2 linked regions of the Elephas maximus indicus genome follow. The protein of the gene in region 1 binds, or shares a complex with, the protein of each later gene. Links are inferred from orthologs where the notes say so. Each region holds a gene or a part of one and is shown in the gene's direction. Other genes may lie near its edges. The genes, in order: XKR8 and BSG.

What was found.
Region 2: the proteins of XKR8 (region 1) and BSG are in contact, whole or in part, in a cryo-EM structure (PDB 7DCE), measured with the Homo sapiens proteins. The link is inferred for Elephas maximus indicus from reciprocal best matches to the Homo sapiens genes XKR8 and BSG. Residues at the interface, in NP_060523.2 of Homo sapiens: His232, Leu236, Val239, Leu242, Trp243, Leu246, Gln247, Arg280, Gly283, Arg284, Ile287, Phe291, Ser294, Asp295, Leu298, Ala301, Thr302; in NP_001719.2 of Homo sapiens: Trp326, Pro327, Gly330, Ile331, Glu334, Val335, Leu338, Val339, Ile341, Ile342, Phe343, Tyr345, Glu346, Lys350.

What each region holds. Positions count from the first base shown.
Region 1 is NC_064821.1:68,370,682-68,380,405, forward strand, and holds the start of XKR8 (XK-related protein 8), read left to right. Parts: upstream 1-5,125; 5' UTR 5,126-5,291; coding exon 5,292-5,584; intron 5,585-7,601; coding exon 7,602-7,798; intron 7,799-9,724. Other genes in the region: SMPDL3B (acid sphingomyelinase-like phosphodiesterase 3b), read left to right, coding at 1-75, 161-294, 3,811-4,176.
Region 2 is NC_064821.1:307,793-317,282, forward strand, and holds the start of BSG (basigin), read left to right. Parts: upstream 1-5,149; 5' UTR 5,150-5,246; coding exon 5,247-5,313; intron 5,314-9,490.

The sequences.
Region 1 (9,724 bases):
ACCATCAGGTCATCGCGGGACAGTTCTTCGGGCACCAGCACACCGACAGCTTCCGGATGTTCTATGATGACACAGGTACTCAACCCGGAGGGCGGCTGCCAGCTCACTTCCCGCCTTCTCTCACCAGCCTCTCTCAGTTCTGCTGTCTCTCGCCTGAAAGGTGTCCCCATCAGTGTCATGTTCCTCACGCCTGGAGTCACGCCCTGGAAAACCACGTTACCTGGAGTGGTCAACGGGGCCAACAATCCAGGCATCCGGGTGATTGAATACGACCAAGCCACACTGAGCCTGAAGGTCAGGAGCCCTGGGTCTGCTGGGAAGACAGGGGTAGGGTGGACAGGGACCTAGACACATCATAACCTCCCCTAACTCTCCTTCCCACCCAATCCACCCACTATTGACCAATGAACCTTAGAAAGGTTAAGTTACTTCTGCCCTTCTAGAGCTCAGATTCAGAACCCTGAAGCCACCTCCAAATCCTGTCACTGAGTCAGGTCAATTCTTCTTTTCCCAAACTCCCTTTGCCCCTGGATCATTGCCACAGCCTCCTACCTGGTCTCCCTGCCTCCAGTGCTGCCCCACTGTAGCCCATCCGCTATGCACTACAGAAGGGATTCGTCTTTCTAAAGCACTGCTTTCATCCTGTTTCTCTCCTGCTCAGAAACTTTCAGTGGCTCCTCAGTGCCTGCAATATAAAGTTGGATCTCCTTGGCCTGGTACTCAAGGCCTCCTACACTCTGACCTCCAGCCCATGCCCACCTTTTCCCTACACTGACTCAAGCTGGGCTCAAGCCAAAGCAGGCCCCCAACTCATCAAGCGCTCCTTCACCTCCTAGGATGTGCTTGTGTTTGTGGAAATCACAAAGAAGCATTATTCTCTCATTTATTCAACAAACGTATTAAGCATCTGCCATGTGCTAGACCCTGCTCTAAGCTCAGGGGATACTCAAGTGAACAAAAACAGACCAAGTCACTGTTCTCCTGGAGCTGACATTCTTACAGGAAGCAACAGACAAGAACTAAGTGAAATGAAGTATGCCACAGAGAGAAGTTCTAAGGAGGAAAACGAAGCAGGGTGGAGAGACAGGGTGGTGATGGGCAGGCTGTGTGTGTGCTATGTTACACAAGTCGGCAGGGTAAATGTCACAAATAGAGTGGCATTTCAGCAGAGTTCTGAGTGATGTGAGGGAGCAAGCCACGTAGGCACCTGGGGAAGGAGAGTGACAGCAAGTCAAAGGCCTCTTGGTGGGAACGCGCTTCGCATGTTTAAAAGAAACCTGGGTACTTGGCACCATTTTGCAGGAGGCGCTTGCACCATTGCAGTGGGGCTAAAGACACACTCTTTTTATGTTGCTTTTTATCCATTCGTTCTGCAAATATTTATATGCCAGGGGGCTTAGCATGATAGAAAATGCCCAGGCTGTGGGATAAACAAGAAGAGCAAGGAGGCCAGTGTGGTTGGAGTGGAAGGTGGAGGGGAGACTAGGTGGGAACGAGGTCAGATCACATAGGCCGTGATGAAGACTCTGGATTGGGAGGGTTTAGGGCAGAAGAATGAAATATTCTGAACTTAATTTCACAAAATCACCATGTCTGCTGTATAGGGGCAAAGGCAGAGGCAGGGGAAACAGTTAGGGACTATATAACCAGCTGAGAGATGGGGGCTAGGCCCAGGGCTGTAGTGCGAGAGGTAAGAAGTGTCGGATTCTGGGTGTATTACGAAGGCAAAGCAGACAGGATTTGCTGGTGGATTGGATATGAGAGAAAGAGGAGTCATGAAGGACTCCAAAGTTTTCAGCCTGAGCAACTGAAGGATGAGGTTGCCCTTTGCTGAGATGGAGTGACTGTGGGAGGAGCCAGAATTTTCAGCTTTGGGCCTGTTAACTATGAGATGGCTAAATGGCATACAAGAAAATGCCAAGGGAGGCGGCAACTGGATGTCTGAGTTGGAGTTTCAGGAAGAGCAACATACAGAGATTTGATATGAGAGCTAAGAGCATCTAGAGGACATTTAAAGCCAGAGACTGGATGAGATAACCAAGGTCCTTGATTCTGAGGAGGAAATGTAGATAAAGAAGAGGTCTGAGGATTTTTAAGAGTATGGTCTGCCGCTCACACAGGCACTCATAGAATCTGAGCACAGTCTCAAGAATCCCCACCCAGCCTGTAACATGCCCTGCATCCTTCTCAGATAGACCTGGGTTTTAATCCTGGCTTAACCAGACATAGACTTTTTGATCTCTCTGTGCCCCAGTTGCTTCATCTGTGAAACAGGAATGACAATACTCTCACAGGGTTTTGAGAGGACTGAACGGCTAAGGTACTTGGATGCTAACAGAAGGACTGGCAGTTTGAGTCCACCCAGAACCGCCTCAAAGAAAGGGCTGGCGATCTACTTCGGAAAAATCAGCCATTAAAATCCCTATGGAGCACAGTTCTACTCTGAAACACAGAGTCTGAATCGACCTCAACTGTTTGTTTTTAAATGAAATAACATATGTAATGTGTCTGGCATGCAGTTGCTGTTCATATATAGCAGTTCCGTGTACTCTATCTCCAGTGACCTGAAGCAGGTATACATACAAATTTAACCCGAAAGTGTTGGACAGAGAAACTGTCTTAGTCATCTAGTGCTGCCAAAACAGAAATACCACAAGTGGATGGTTTTAACAAAGAGAAATTTATTCTCTCACAATCTAGCAGGTTACAAGTCCAAATTCAGGGCACTGGCTCCAGGGGAAGGCTTTTTCTCTCTGTCAGTTCTGGAAGAAGGTCCTTGTCCTCAATCTTCCCCTGAGGAGCTTCTCAAGCACAGGGACGCGGTGTCCAAAAGTCACGCTCTGCTCCTGGTGCTGCTTTCTTGGTTGTATGAGGTCCCCAACTCTCTGCTTGCCTCCCTTTCCTTTTATCTCTTATAAAAGGTGGTACAGGCCATACCCCAGGGAAACTCCCTTTACATTGGATCAGGGATATGACCTAGGTAAGGGTGGTATTACAAATCCCACCCTAATCCTTTTCAACATAAAATTATAATCACAAAATGGAGCACAACCACACAACACTGGCAATCATGGCCTAACCAAGTTGATATATACGTTTTTGGGGGGACATGATTCAATCCATAACAGAAACTCTTCCAGATTCTAGTCCTGAGGATGCACAGGAGTCCCAGGGGTCTGGAGTGTATCTCAGTTCCCACCAAGTTCTACTTGGCCTGTGGTTAATCCCACTGTTTATGTTGCTTTTTATCCATTCATTCTGCAAATATTTACTAAGCATCTTTTATGTGCCAGGAGCTTGGTGTGACAGAAAATGCACAGAGTGTGGGGTAAATGACCTGGGTTCCAATCCCGGTAGGATCCTGGCCAAGTGAACCAACCTCTTTAGGCCTCAGCTTCCTCATCTGCGAAATGGAGATAATAAGTGCAGTTATCTTATCAGATCCAATCTAAGAATGTCTGCCAAACATACTTAAAAAAAAGAAAAACCAAAAAACCGGTGCCTTCTAGTTGATTCCAACTCACAGAGACCTCAGAGTAGAACTGCTCCACAGGGTTTTCTTGGTTGTAATTTTTACTGAAGCAGATCACCAGGTCTTTCTTCTTTGGTGCTGCGGGTGGGTTCACACTGACAACCTTTAGAAGTCAAGGGCAAACAGTGTGCGCCACCCAGAGACCTTACCAATAAATGCTCAATAACTAATGGTGGTTATTTTGGCTGTAAAGAAGCTGGGGGCAAATGCAAGGTGTAGGATGGGAGTGGAACCTGGCAGCTGTTAAAGGCAGGCCTTGCACCGCCTCCCCATTCCAGGACACAGTTACCTACTTCATGAACCTGAGCCAGGCGAACGCGCAGGAAACACCAAGCTGGGAGCTCGAGTACAAGCTGACCGAGGCCTATGGGGTGCCGGATGCGGGCCCCGCGTCTATGCACGTGGCGCTAGGCCACATCGCCCGCGACCAGGGAGCACTGCAGCGTTACTACATCTACAACTCTGTTGGCTACGGCAGCCCGGACTGCGAGGAGGCCTGCCGCGTTGAGCACGTGTGCGCCGCGCGTGAGGTGGACTTCGACGCGTACACTGCTTGCCTGCGCAACTCTGGCGCCTCACCGGCGCCCAAGCTCGCGCTGCCGTTGGCGGCGCTGCTGGGCCTGTGCACCCTGCTCGTGCGGTGACCTTGGCGCCACACGCTGTCCCCTGGGCAGCTCACCTTCCTCCTTGTAAAACCTGGGGAACATCACCCTTTGGAGACCCGGACTTTTCCATCATTTCTCCTGCGCCCCTAGAGAGTGAATTAGTAGGGGGCAGCCGGATCCGGAGATGAAGCACCAGCCCCCCCCCCACCACGTTTCCTTCAAGTTTCATGTCTTATTAAAAAACAATGTGCATCGTGCATGTTATTCTGTGCGGTTTCTCCTTTAATATGTGAGTAGTTTTGAACTCACAGTGAACGTTTCTCCCTCTCTCTCCACAGTGATGGAAGTAAAATGAGTAGCCCAGGAAGATGCGCCCTGGTGATCCGGTGCCCTTTGTGTAACTCGCTGCCCGAACTCTGGGCACGCTTAATTTGCAACGTTCACCACTTAGGGATCAGAACGTGCCTTTTTGTTTTGCTTTTTGCAACCGAGCCGATGCGAGGGATCATGAGTAGAGCCCGGGCTCTAATCTCCTAGCCCTTCCCGCCATCTTGGGCCTCTGTCGTTAGGTGCCATCCAGTCGATTCTGACTCATAGCGATCCCGTGGGACAGAGCAGAACTGCTCCATAGGGTTTTCTAGGCTGTAATCTTTAGGGTACAGACCGCCAGGTCTTTCTCTCGTGGAGCCTCTGGGCGGGTTGAATCGCTGGCTTTTCGGTTAGCAGCCAAGCGCTTAACCGTTGCGCCACCGGGGCTCCTTGTCTTGGCCCTCTAGGCGCCTCAAACATAAAATAAAATCGCTGGGAAGCCTGCTGAACTAAGCGCTGTGCGCCTCGGACGGTCGGTTTTCAGGCCTACCGGCCCTTGGGATGCACCCATTTGGGCGGGGGTGGGGGACGGGTGGCAGAGCCAGAGCCCCGAGCGGCATCCAGGGCCGCGGGAGACCAAGCCTGACGTGGGGCAGGCCCGGGCAGGGTCCAAGGGCCTCGCTCCTCCCCGGACGAGGCGGGGCGGGGAAGTCCCGCCCAGCAGGCCCCGGCCCAGGGCCGCCCCGAGGGCTGTGCTTGTCTCCTTCCTGAGTTGAAAATCCCGGACCCCAAGGGTAGGCCGGAGCCGCAGAGAAGGAGGGGTTGGGGGGAGAGGCAGGCGGGCCATGCCCTCGTCGCCCCACGCCGCCCTCCTTCGGGACCTGGTCCTGGGCGTACTGGGCACTGCCGTCTTCCTGCTCGACCTGGGCGCGGATCTGTGGGCCTTCGTCCAGTACGTGCTCAGCGGCTGCTACCTGTGGGCAGCGCTGGTGCTGGCGCTGCTGCTCCTCGCCTCGGTCGCGCTGCAGTTCTTCAGCTGGGTCTGGCTGCGCGCCGACCCCGCCGACCTGCACAAGTCGCAGCCCTCCGGCCGCTGTCTGGCGCTGCTACATCTCCTGCAGCTGGGCTACCTGTACAGGTGAGCGCCCCGCCCTCGGGAAACGGGAAGGATACCGAGCCTAGGGGGCGCCTCCTGAATTTGGGCTACTAGTGTTGGTGAGAGTCCTGACACGGGGGTTGGGGGTGGGGGGGAGGGGAGTGTGGAAAGTGAGGGGAGGAGGGAACCGGGACTGGAGACAGGAAACAGCCCCACAGGTGAATGCCCCGCCCCTTAAGGGAAGAGAACTGCTGAAAGCCCTTAGAGCTCTTCTAGTCTACCCACCCTTGTACAGGCGAAGAAACTGAGGCCCAGGGAGGAAAGGGAGGAGCACGGGCTTTGGAGTCAGCTTTCTGGGATCTAATTTTGCCACCTGTGACCTCATTCCTGCGTCACTCTGAGCCTCAGTTTCCTCCTCTGTAAAAAAGAAGAGGTAGTCTAGAGATAGCTCTGCCAGGCCGGCCTACTGTGACGTGTGAAAGAGTTGGAAAGTGCCTAGCACAGTGCTTGGCATGAAGTCAACTCCACTGTAATGGCAAAGACCTGCAGCCTCAGTTCAAAGCCTGGCTGTTCCTTCTAGCTGTGAGCACAGTGTTGGGCAAGTCGCTTGACCTCTTCAGGGTTTTTTACTCATTGTTCGAATGGGCATGGTAACAGTGCCTACCTCTGAGCTTTGTGAGCATTAAATAAAATGTATGAATTTCCCTGGCACAGAGTAAGCATCCAGTAAATGTCAGCTAGCATCAGATTACCTGGGCCACCCCGGGAGTTTCAGCTGTCCTGACCCCAGAGCAGTGCTGTGCCCTCACAGCTGCCTGGCTTGCACCCTTTCTTTCCCAGTTATATTCTCTTCCTTGAACTTTTGCTCCCCACCGCCCCCAGACTGAACACGAGGGCAGAGATGGTGTCTGACTCATCTGTGTCCCATGAGCCAGCTGGGACTGGGCTGGGTCTCAGAGCATGTGTGTGGATTGTGCTTCTTTTTAGAACCGGCGGGGCTCTATAGAGGTGGGAAACCGAAAGCAAGGTGTCAGAGTCATAGGATGAGGTCAGGACACGGTGTGGCCTGGGTGGGATGGTGTGGCTGGAGCCAGGATCCCCTTTTGAATCCATTTTTGCAGATTCTCTCCAGATCCTGCCTTGACAAAGCTGCAGTCTCCAGGAGTGGGTTAGAGGAACTTTGACTGCGTTTTGCCCTAGGGACCATAGAGGCCTCAATAAAACCCCAGATGGGTGGGAAGGGGCACAGTTATTATAGTCCTGGGCAGGCATGACAACATCGAACACCTTCCCTTCTTCTGTTTCTGCCAAGCACGAGTCAGACAGACTGCTGAGCTTCGCTGCCTATGCGCAGAAGCTCTCAGTGGCTCCCTGTTGCCCACAGGATAAAAGGCCTTGCTCCTTGGGCTCCTCTTCACAAAGTATGTTTTGTTCACCCCTTGCTTTCGAATCACCTGGGGATGCCTATTTAAAATGCAGATTTCTGGGCTCCTACTGCAGACTGAATGAAAATCTATTCATTCTTTTCATGGTTTTGCATAAAGGGGATCTCTGCTTCCAGTCCAATCCTTGCCCCCCTCCATAGGTAGGGTGCTTTTTTAGAGTACTGTCTGACCTGGGTGTGCCTGTGCTAAGAAGTTCTCAATGGCTTCCTGTTGCCTGCAGGATTCCAAAAGATTCTTATGCCTGCTAAAATTTGAGAACTACCGTCTTATGAATTCAAACAGTCTTGGGTTCAAATCCTAATCGCGCTACTTATTAGCTTTTTGATCCTGTTTCCCCCTCTATAAAATGGGGGTGTTGCAAGGAGTAAATGGGACAAGGTTTTGTCATGCGCTTGGGACAGTGCCTGGCCAGTAGGAGCAGCAGTAGTTGCATGTATCCCCATTTTACAGATAAGGAAACAAAACTCAATGAGGTTAACTTGCTTGCCCAAGGCCCACAAGGTGTAAGTGACAGAGCTGGGATCGGAGCCTGCCTGCATCCACCAGATGGTAGGGGAAAGAGGAACACCACCAGACACTAACCTGGCCCCTTGGGCATCTTATGTGCTGCCTAGGTGTGTGAAGGGGCTGCAGCAGGGGCTGTTGGCGTGGCGGCAGGAGGCACCCTCAGAGTTTGAACTGGCCTACGCCGACTTCCTCTCCCTGGACATCACCATGCTGCGGCTCTTTGAGACCTTCTTGGAGACAACGCCTCAGCTGACGCTGGTTCTGGCCATTGTACTGCAGAGCGGGCAGGCTGAGCACTACCAGTGTGAGTGATGCACCAGCAGCCAGCCCCCCTGTGGGTTGGGAAGGTTTCCCTCTAGTGTCACGAATATTTGCTCTTTTTTAAAAAGGTTGCTTGGAAAAGAGGAGAAATGCTTTAGTCAGGCAGCCATGGGTTCAAATCCAAAGTCACTCTCTAGCTGTATGACTTTGGGCAAATGACCCAGCCTTTCTGAGGGTCAGTTTGTTCTCATCTGTAAAATGGACACAGTCAGTGCTTCTACCTCATAGTGTTGATGAAAGGATTAAGAGATGATGCACATAAAGCAAAGTGCTTGGCGCATCATAAACCTGCATTGTAATTCTCACTGTTTTGAAGATAGCAGAGATAAAGTGTATGGGGTACCTGACACAGACTAGGCAACTTGTTAGTCATTAAGCTTTTATTGTGCACCTTCACATACTCAAGTTTTTATTCAGCACCTGTTCTGTGCCAGTCAGTGTACTGGGGCACAGTGGTGAATAAGACAGACACAGCCCCTGCCCTGCCAGGATGACAGAATATAAAATAATAATTACAGAAAAGTATGTCCAGTGATCTGAAGGGGAGAGGCAGGTGACAGAGGCTGGCAGGGCCTCAGAAACCGTGGGGAGAAATTTGTCCAGTAAGGAGCTTTCAAATGAATTTTGCCTGTAAAAGGGAAGTGACTTGCCCAAGCAAGGTCACAGTGGCTAAGCTAGGACTCCAACTCATCTCTGATTCAGGGCCCTCGGCTCCCCCTTCACCACTGGACACTTCGAGGGTCCCTGCTGTAAATGCTGCGGCATTTACAGTCCCCCAAACCCATTCCCCCCGCCGTCACTCGCTGTGTGACCCAGGGAGCCTGGCCTTAGTTTCCACGACTGTACAAGATGAGGGTCGAACTCGATCTTCGAGGGCCCTTCCAGCTTCTGCTAGTCCAGATCTGTGATAATTTTAAATCTGATAACAGCAGTCTTCATGATTGAGTTTCCTGCTATTAGCCAGGCACTTTGCAAAGTCCTTTGCAGTCTAACACTGTTCGTGTTCCCAGCAGCCCTTAGGTCAGTGCTGTATTTATTTATCTCCATTTTACACCAAAGGTAAGAGGTGCAGAAAGGTGAAGTGACTGGCCCTGGGTCACACAGCACTCACTGGATATATAGTTTTTATCCATTTGAGGGAGGTGGATGTCTAGGACCATGGTCAAGTGGAGACATTCTACACTGTGTGTGTATGGTGGGGTTTGGGGGTGGAAGAAGACGTATTTTTAGTAGCTAGGTACTGTGGTCAGCCATGGGGATCCCAGGTGAGCAGGCCCTGTTTCCTACCCTGGAGAAGCTGAGGGATAAGGAAATAGTAGGTAATTACTGTGTGATAAGGCTCCAGGCTTTTTTTTTTTTTTTTTTAAGGCTCCAGGCAGAAGTGGGTGGGGTGTTACAGGGACGCAGACACAGCTGAAGTGGGTGAGTGGGGTCAGGATGGGTGACTTGGGTCAGGATGGGTGACTCTAGGGGATATTCAAACTGGAACTTGGAGAGCAAGTGGGAGTAGGCCAAGTGAGGTGGGGCATGTGCTCCTGCCCCACCTAACATGATGGCAAAGGCTTGTCAAGGTCTTAGAATTTGGCATAGTGGGCCCTGCTGAGAAGTAGAATGTGGAATAGTTAGAAAGGATGACGGCTGCAGATCTGGTTCTAGGCTGGGAGTGGGTTCCTGGAACATTATAGGTGCCCAGTAAATATCTGTGAAGGGGGCAGGGGAGGAAGCATTCTAGAAACATTCTAGAGCTGCTTCTATCCCTGGAGGTCCTGGTGCCCCTAGCCCAGAATAGGGAACCAGGAGATGGGATAGGATCTTGGAAAATCAAGAAAAGGGGCCAGTCTGAATGTGGAGGGGAGGAGCGAGGGGATGTTCCCTGTTCACGGCAGGACATCCCTCCTGCCCTAAGTGT
Region 2 (9,490 bases), about 68 Mb from region 1:
CTTCAGGAATAACTTCAGTTCTGAGTTAAAAGGATGGCCTGGGGCCATAGTCTCAGGGGTTCCTTTAGCCTCTTTCAGACCAGCAGGTCTGGTCTTTTTTAAGTGTGTGTGAACTAGAATTTTATTCTATATTTTTCTCCTGCTTTCTCCAGGACCCTCTGCTGTGATCCCTGTCGGAGCAGTTGAATAGCCTTTATTTTTTAGAGCAGTTTTAGGTTTACAAAAAAATTGCAAAGAAAGAACAGGCAGTTTCATTACATTGTGCGTGGGGTCACCGTGAGTCGGGCTTGACTCAACTGCAGCTAGCAACAACATGGGTTTTGACAAATGCAGCTGTGATCTGCCCCCATCACCACACCCTGCATCGTTTCTCTGCTGCCCTAAAGATGCCATGTGCTCCACCTATTATTTAAAAAAAAAAAAAAAGAGAGTCCAGGGGTGTCATGCGATTAAGTGCTTGACTATTTGATGATTTTAACCCATACAGAGGAACCTCAGAAGACAGGCCTGGCTATCTGCTTCTGAAAGGTCACAGTCTTGAAAACCCTACGGGGCAGGTCTCCTCTGCACAAATGGGGTCGCCGTGAGATGGAATCGACTGAACGAGGAACAGCAACCTGTCCCGAAGACTGCATGGGGTGTGCTTACGGAAAAAATTCACCCAGGCATCTTGTATTTTCATTTTATTTGCCGTATCTGGGTGGTCAAGGAAATGTCTCTTCTTGGAACCAGAGAGGCATGAACCCTCTTGTCCGAGGGGGCAGTGGTGAGCAGAGCATGGGTCAGGGGGCCGGGGAGTGCCAGGACACCGTGTCTTCAAAGAGATGCAGCTTGACCTTGTACATGAAGACTAAGGCTTCCAGAAGCTGCAGGTGGCCCTCATGTTTCCCAGGAGGCCTGTTTTCCGACATGTGGGATGCCGAGGGGGAATTCAGCAGAAGCTCGCCAGGAGGCTCAGGATATCAGCCAGGCAGGAGGGGTTGTTTACAACCCTGGAAGGGCTTTGAAGCCAGTGGCCCCTGCCTGGGCCTCGTGGTCCTCCCCGATTCTGCACGTAGCTCCCAATCCCCCAGTGGGGCTGGCAGCCTTTCTAAGCCTGGATGGCTGCCAGGGCTGGGGCTCGGCTGCTCTGAGGCCCAGGCCCCTGACCCGCAGCCATCCCTGGCCTGAAGCCCTTGCCAGCTCAGCCCCTTCCTTCATCAGCATGCCCCTCTGTCGCCCAGCACTGCCCGTCCTTCCAGCCTCCCCTCCCTGTCCACCATACTTGGGCTCCATCAGCTCTGAGAAGACCCCTCCCTGGATAACGCTTCCCTCCTGCTCAGGCAGGGGACACTGTGTTCTCAAATGTCACCTCCTTGAAGAAGCTGCTGGACCCTCACCTGAAGCAGGCACTCTCCCCTGGGAACTCACATCACCCTATTTTTGTATTGAGATGTAATTTGCTCACCAGGCTCTTTACCCATTTAAAGTGCACAGCTCAGCGGTTTTTAGGGCATTCACAATGCTGTGCAACCAAAACCTTTGCCTGGTTCCCGAACCTTCTCACCGCCCCAAAAGGGAACCCTGTACCCATTAAAAGTCACTCCCCATCCCTCCTCCCCTGGTCCCTGGAAACTGCTAATCCACTTTCATCTCTATGGATTTGCCTATTCTGGACATTTCATATCAAAATGGAATCAGACAATATGTGGTCTTTTGTGCCTAACTTCTTTCACGGAGTATCATGTTTGTGAGGTCCGTCCACGTTACGGCAGGTATCAGTACTTCTTCCCTCTTTATGGCTGATAATCCGTTGTGTGGACGGACCACGTTGTATTATCTATTCAGCTGCAGATGGACACTTGGGCTGTCCCCTTTCTCCACATTATACGTCTGTATGTATATATATATATTTTTTATATATAGCTCGGAGTGGAATTGCTGGTCACATCAGTTTTACGTTTGAGTTTTTGTGGAGCCACCAAACTGTTTTCCACAGCGGCTACACCATTTTACCTTCCCATGAGCAATGGATGAAGATGCCTGTCTTCCCGCGTCCTTGCCAACACTTGTTATCATCTGTCTGTTTATAATAGCCATCCCAGTGTGGGTGAAGGGGCCCTTGGCGATGACTAATGATGTTAAGCACCTTTTCCTATGCTTATCAGCCTTTTGTACATCTTCTTAGGAAAACTGGCTATTCGGGTCTTTGCTGATTTTGTATTGTTTGTCTTTTTATTATAAGCTTGTAAGAGTCCTTTATAGATCCCAGGTATAAGTCCTTTATCAGACATATGATTTGCAAATACTTTCTCCTATTTGATGGGTTGTCTTTGCACTTTCTTGGTGGTTTCCTTTGAAGCACAGAAGTTTGGATGGGGTCCAACTTATCTACTTTTTCTTTGGTTTCTTGTGCTTCTGGTGTCATGTCTAAGAAACCATTGCCTAATCTAAGTCACAAAGATTTATCCCCATGTTTTCTTAGAAAAAAATTAAAATTTTCTGTTTTTTTTTCTTCTTCTAAGAGTTTTCTAGTTCAGTACTTATATTTAGGTCTTTGATCCCCTGGTGGTATAAACAGTAAATGTGCTTGGCAGCTAACTGAAGGGCTGGAGGTTTGAGTCCATCCAGAGGTGCCTGGAAAGAAAGGCCTGGCAATCTACTTCCAAAAAAAAATCAGTCACTGAAAACCCTATGTGTCCTTATAGTCCCATTTGGGAAGTGCTTTTCTTTGTTACGTTAATGAGGAAGTGTTAGTGTTGGGTGCGTCTTACATCAATCTCTCTTGAGACATAAAAGAGCAGATTAAGGAAGCAAGCTGAGGAGAGAGATGGGGGAAGACAGGTACCAAGTCACAGGAAGATCACGGAGGAACAGAAACTGAAAAGAGGTAAGGACCTTCCTCCAGGGCCAACAGAGAGGGAAAGCCTTCCCCGAGAGCCAAAACCCTGAATTCAGACTTCCAGCCTAAGTGTTAGAAAATAAATTCCTGCTTGTTTAAGCAAAAAAAGAAAGAAAACCCTACAGAGCACATACAGTTTCTACTCTGCCGCACTGGGCTACCGCCATGAGTTGGAATCGACTCAACAGCGATGTTTTTTACATTTGCATTTATCAGCATTTGAAATTACTTTATTGTTCTGTATGTTTCTGTAATGCTTTCCAATCATATTAAGTCTAAGTCACTCCTATCCTTGCATATATACATATATGTATGTACTCATAATATGAATTTAGAAATAGAAATATGTCTGCCTTTGTAGGCCTCTCTAACCATTAACTGTAAATCATTAGAAAGTGATTTAGAAATTCCTAACTGACAAATAGAAGCAAGTGAAGTGGGTGAAGAGCGTGAATAACCATAAAGTTGACTTAAACCTGGCATGCTGCGACGAAAGCAAACAGCATAGCAAGCTTCAGAAACTAGTCTTGAGATATAAATCTAAACAACTTCCTCATCTCTAACCCTGAAGAAAAGACGAGACATTCGGCTAACCTCTAACTCTGCAGAGAAGACGTTACCAACTAGTCTTTGATGTCACAGTGGGCCCATCCTGTGAGGCCAAGACGAGGCATCTGTATGTAAACCCTGAACTTCCGCCCACCCGCTGAGAAGGCAGAGATGGGAGCTCCTCGCTGCTGCCAACCTCGCGCCCAGCTGTGAGGGACCCCACCCGTGGTCGAGCCTTCCTCCCGAGACCACTCCTCAGAGAAAACGCCTGGAGTCTCTCAACACGGAGCTCTCACCACGGAGCTCTCACCACGGGGCTCCCACCACGGGGCTCCCACCACGGGCTCCCACCACGGGGCTCCCACCACGGGGCTCCCACCACGGGGCTGTCACCACGGGGCTCTCACCACGGAGCTCTCACCACGGGCTCTCACCACGGGCTCTCACCACGGGGCTCTCACCACGGAGCACTCACCACGGAGCTCCCACCACGGGGCTCCCACCACGGGGCTCCCACCACGGGCTCTCACCACGGGGCTCCCACCACGGGCTCTCACCACGGGCTCTCACCACGGGGCTCCCACCACGGGGCTCCCACCACGGGGCTCCCACCACGGGCTCTCACCACGGAGCTCCCACCACGGGCTCTCACCACGGGGCTCCCACCACGGGGCTCCCACCACGGGGCTCCCACCACGGGCTCTCACCACGGAGCTCCCACCACGGGCTCTCACCACGGGGCTCCCACCACGGGCTCTCACCACGGAGCTCCCACCACGGGGCTCCCACCACGGGGCTCCCACCACGGGGCTCCCACCACGGGCTCTCACCACGGAGCTCCCACCACGGGCTCTCACCACGGGGCTCCCACCACGGGCTCTCACCACGGGCTCTCACCACGGGCTCTCACCACGGGGCTCTCACCACGGGGCTCTCACCACGGAGCTCTCACCACGGAGATAACGGTGGCTGTTGCCTGATTCTCTGGCTCTACGGGCGGGGGCCTTGTTGCGTGCTTTGTTTGGCAGGACCCCCCTGCGGTAAACGAAACGAGTTTATGCGAGTCAAATCCGAGTGTTGATTAATTTCTGAGGCGAACACCCCACACGGCATTCATCGTTCGCGTCAGTGTGTGTAGTAAAAACACAGGCCCCAGGGCAGAGTTGCCAGACAAAATGGAGGTCGACCAGTGAAGCTGCAATTTCAGAGAAACACAAATAGGTTTTTTTTTTTTTTTAAATAACTATGTCCAAATATTGCACGGGACACTTAAACACTACAAAATTATTTGTTCTCTATCTGAAATTTAACTGCTGTCCGGTATTTTTATTTGCTAAGCTGGTAGCATCAAGCCAGGGGTTCGCATCCCACCTGGTCACAGCTGGCACCCTGTAGCCTCACTAAGAGCTTTTCCAAAGACTCGCTGCCGGAAGGACGAACGGACGCGGCCCACAGACTCTCCGAGAAGCCAGGGCGGGAAACGGCCTCCCAGCCGGGTCCTCGCCGGCCCCGCCCGCGTTTCCTAGCAACGCCGGGGCCGGGGGCCAGGAGGCCAGGAGGCGTGGCTCGCCGCGGACACGTGCCTGGTGCCGCCGCCCGGATGCCCTTAGCGCTAACCGGTCTGAGTCAGCGCGTGCGTACGTGCGCCCCCGCGCGTGCGCAAACGGACCGGCCGGCGTGCCCTGCGTGCGCGCGCCCCGGACGCCGCCCTGCGCGCGCGCGCCCGCGGCCTCTGCCGGTTCTTATTGCGGCCGCGGGCGGCGGCGGCGACGGGTGGCGGCAGTTGGCTGCGGCGGCGGAGGACGGACGAGGCGACATGGCGGCCGTGCTGCTCGTGGTGCTGGTGGCCGCGCTCCTGGGCGTCGAGGGCGCCTCCGGGGCGGGTGAGGACCGGGCCGGGGTCGCGACGCCCGAAGGGGGCCCGGCATGGAGGCCGCGGGTGCGGGGCGCCGGTGCGGGGCGCGGGGCGCCGGTGCGGGGTCCGGGGCGCCGGTGCGGGTGCGGGGCGCCGGTGCGGGGTGCGGGGCGCCGGTGCGGGGTGCGGGGTCTGGGGCGCCGGTGCGGGGTGCGGGGCGCCGGTGCGGGGTGCGGGGTCTGGGGCGCCGGTGCGGGGTGCGGGGCGTCGGTGCGGATGCGGGGCGTCGGTGCGGGTGCGGGGCGCCGGTGCGGGGTCCGGGGCGTCGGTGCGGGTCCGGGGCGCCGGGGGCGGCCGGGCGGAGTGGCGGTGAGGCCGCGCGCTGGGGGCTCCCGGGGAGCTCCGGACAGGCCTGGCTGAAGCCCGCGGCCGGGGCTCGCGGCGGGTGGGCTTCTCATCGGGACCTGGGAGCGAAGCCCCCGAGCTTGGGGGGAGCACCTGGGGCGCCTGGCCCGGGGCGGTGCTGGAGGTGCAGTCCCCAAGCTGCCGTTCGGGCCCCCGGGCTGGAGCCTCCGGGAGGGGACTGGCCCTGGATGAGGGCATATGGGGTGGGCTCCAGAGGTGGGCCGCCTGCCGCCGCTTCCAGCAGGAGCGTCTGGACCAGAGGGAGGGAGACCGGGGCCTGGGTCCTTGAGCGTCCTCCCCTTTGGGCCAGAACTGCGGGGTCGGAGTCTGGGCCTGGCCTCGGTCTCGTCTCATTCGTCCCGGGAGCCCCTTGGAGCCTGCAGGGCCTGGAGTGCGACCTGAGACTGGATCTCGGTGTCACCCCCTGCCTGGGGCCTGTGTTAGGGTAGGGGTGCAGCAGAAAGACCCACCTCCCCTGAACTCGGATCCATGGCTGTGGTCCCAGTATGTCCTGGGCAGCTTGGGCTTTCTCTTCTGGAAAATGGGCTCCTGTCATTCTCACACTGACGCGAATACAGGTGCATGTGAAATGGCTCAAAAATGGGTCAGCTTCCTGGGTGGGGGGATTATCATTCCCGATGGGATTTGGGCCTCAGCCTTGCTGTGGTGTGCACTGTCCCCTGTGCCACCTGGGGCCTGCTGCTGGGCCTCACCAGACCTTGGGCTCTAGTCCGCACCTGCTCCTACAGCTGGGGAAACTGAGGCCCAGGAGGGAGGGAAGATACTCCAAGGTCATGACGAGGTTGCCTTGGCCCCAAAGTTCAGGGTAGGAAATGTCCAGAGTAGTTTTTTAAAGATTCAGTGGTGGTGGATTTCCAGTGCAGTTTGCTGAAGTGGGAAGAATGGTCTGAGGGGAAACACAAGAAGGGCTCTCTTGCTTCATAGGGTTGTTCCTTTCCTGTATCTGGACTACACGTTTGGTTTTGGGTTAAAGATTTACGGTGTCCACACGCACATAGGGGACAGAGTGCAGACGTGAGGGCTGGAATCCGTGCTTGGGAGAGGTGGGGGCATCATTCTGGCAGTGGGCACAGTGGGTGGGAGCTCCTGACCAACTTCAAGACTGTTTGGTCTTCGCTTTTCTAATCACACAGCTGTTAACTGAGATGCTGAGACACAGATATGCCAGGGGGCGGCAGATAGGCTGTTGCTGGCAGGGGACCTTTAGAAGCCACCTGGTGTTGGGGACGCATCCTTATCTGGGTTCAAGCTCAACACACGTCTCACCTCGAACTAATGCTGAGCGCCACACTCTCTCCCGGGCAGGCGGTGGTCTGAGCTGAGCAGGAGTAGGGTGGAGTTGCCGGGCAGACTTGGTTCGTTTTCCTTTCTCATGCTGACAGCCCTGCTCTTCTCTCCCACTGGGGAAATCTGGGGCCGGGGGACCCACAGATGGCAGACAGTGCCCCGCAGCCCTGCTGTCTGCTCCACCCGGGCGGGGCGCCTCCCCTGCAGGCCTGGGCAGCTTGTTTACCTCCAGGCCCGTGGCTGGCCCCCAGCCCAGAGGGAAGCAGGAGGGAGTGGCTGTTTTTAGATGAAGGTGACTTTACTTGAGATCACAGGCTGCAGATCACGTGGCCAGCATCAGCTTTGACTTTTCTAGGAGCGGGGGGTCAGGGCTTCCTGAGGTCTTGAGTGCTCTTGGGGGCCTCCTGTGAACCCTGGGGGCCAGGCGGGATCCAATCCTAAACCTCCTGCAGAAGTGGGGGAGGCTTTTCTGCTTTTTTCAGTTCTTGCCCAGTAAGGGGCCTTTTGAGACATTTTTTACTAATTGTCCCACACTGAAAATTAACATCATGTGTGATCCTCACTGCCTCTTGAGAGTGGCCTTGACACTAGGGGTTTTTATCCCCCAGAGCCTACTTCTGCCCCTTGGGGACAACATCCACCTTGTTCGGAGCAGCCCCAGATCTCTAGGATGTGGCCCATGGATGCTGCCCCGCTGGTGCTGATAGATGGGGGTGGGGGTAGTCCACACTCACCCCTTCACAAACGCAGAGGGAACAGACTCTCCCCCCCCCCCCCGCCCCCCCCCCAGGCCTCTTTTCTAGCAGCTCTGGGTGGTGAGAACAGCTGTAAAGGTAGAGAAGCCCGCGGGGAGCGGGGGGACCTTAGACTCCACTTCCTGCCCTGTTCCAGCCCTGCCCTGCCCTGTACTCAGCTGCTGGTTTCGCAACTGGGGAGGCCTGATTCTCTCTGAGAAGCTCAGGAGACCAGAGGTGGCTCTCTGCCGAGGACAGTCGCCTTGCCTGCCTTGGGCTGCCTCGTGGGGGACCACTTGGCTCTTCTCACCACTGCCTTGGAACTGGGGCTGTGTGTGTGCATACGTGTGTGTGTCCCTCAGCAGTATTCAGGGACTGCACGACACATTCGTGGTGGGGGCCTGTGGGGGAGGAAGACACACCTGTGTGAGGACCTGTCCCTCTGCCCAAAGCAGACAGCACCTCCGGGAGCTGTGTCAGGATGCTTCTGCTGGGCTTCGCGCTTCACCTGCATCAGCTGGGGATTTTGAGATGTTCTATCCTCTGTTTTTGTTTAAAGGAGGCACCTGCAAGTGACCAGAGGTGGGGCGGAGGGTCTGGCCTGGCTGCCCCATCAATGGCCAGGTGACTCCCTGGGTAGGGCCAGTCCGCCGTGACCTGTGGGGGTGGGAGCCAACATCACAGCCATGGAGTACTCTAGAAAGCAGCCCAGCTGTGATGTCTTCCGGCAGAAAGACTTCTGTCTTTCTGGGTTGTGGGGTGTGAGCTTCAGCCCACTTCTCCGTGGGTAACCCTGCCCTGCAGGGGGTCTTTTCTGTTTTGTCAGGATGTGTTTCTCCTGGAGGGATGGGGTGTGAGCCAGAGCGCTGCCTTGGGGGGGTAGTAGCTTCAGTGCTTCCTGGTGGCCAATCATCTGGGGCTGCAGCTCAGGCCCCCTCGTGGCTCCGCGCAACCCCCAAGTGTGTGTGTGTGGCTCTCCCGCTGGAGGTCACTGTGCCCTCTGGGGGCCTCGGGTCCTTCAGGGTCATACGGTCCTGGTGGGTGCTCCTCTAGACCTGGTGTCTGGTGCCCAGCCTCTGAACGGCTCCTCTTGCCACCTGGTGCGCTCAGTAGGGTGATGCGGAATCTACTAACTTGCTTTTTTTCTCCATCGGCTCCCCTTGCACTAACGCTGGTGCCTACCCCGCCTGCTGCACAGCTGGCTTCCTGTGGTCACCGCTGTCCCAGGAGCGCGGGCCAGGGGACCACGTGGAGCTGCACTGTGAGGCTGTGGGCAACCCTGTCCCTGAGATCCAGTGGTGGTTCCAGGGGCCTGCACCCGACACGCCCTGCGCCCAGCTCTGGGATGGCGCCCGGCAGGACCGTGTCCACATCCACACCACCTACCGCCAGCATGCGGCCAGCACCCTGTCCATTGCCGGCCTTACTGTGGACGATGTAGGCACTTATGAGTGCCGGGCCAGCAACGACCCTGACCGTAACCACCTGACCCGGGCACCCCGCATCCGCTGGGTCCACGCCCAGGCCAGCGTGCTGTTCCGCGAACGTGAGTGGCGGCACACAGACCCTGGCCCGTCCCAGCCGCCTGGCCCTTCTCTCCAAGTCCCTCTGAGTCCCTTAGCCTGTACCCCACCCCCACCCCCCCCGCTTGGCAGATCACACCCGGGCTCCCAGCCCCACCCTGCACATAGAGCATTGTTCTCGTCCCGCCTCTCCTGGCTCCACGTCCTACTTGGCTCCGGCTCCATCCCGTCCTCG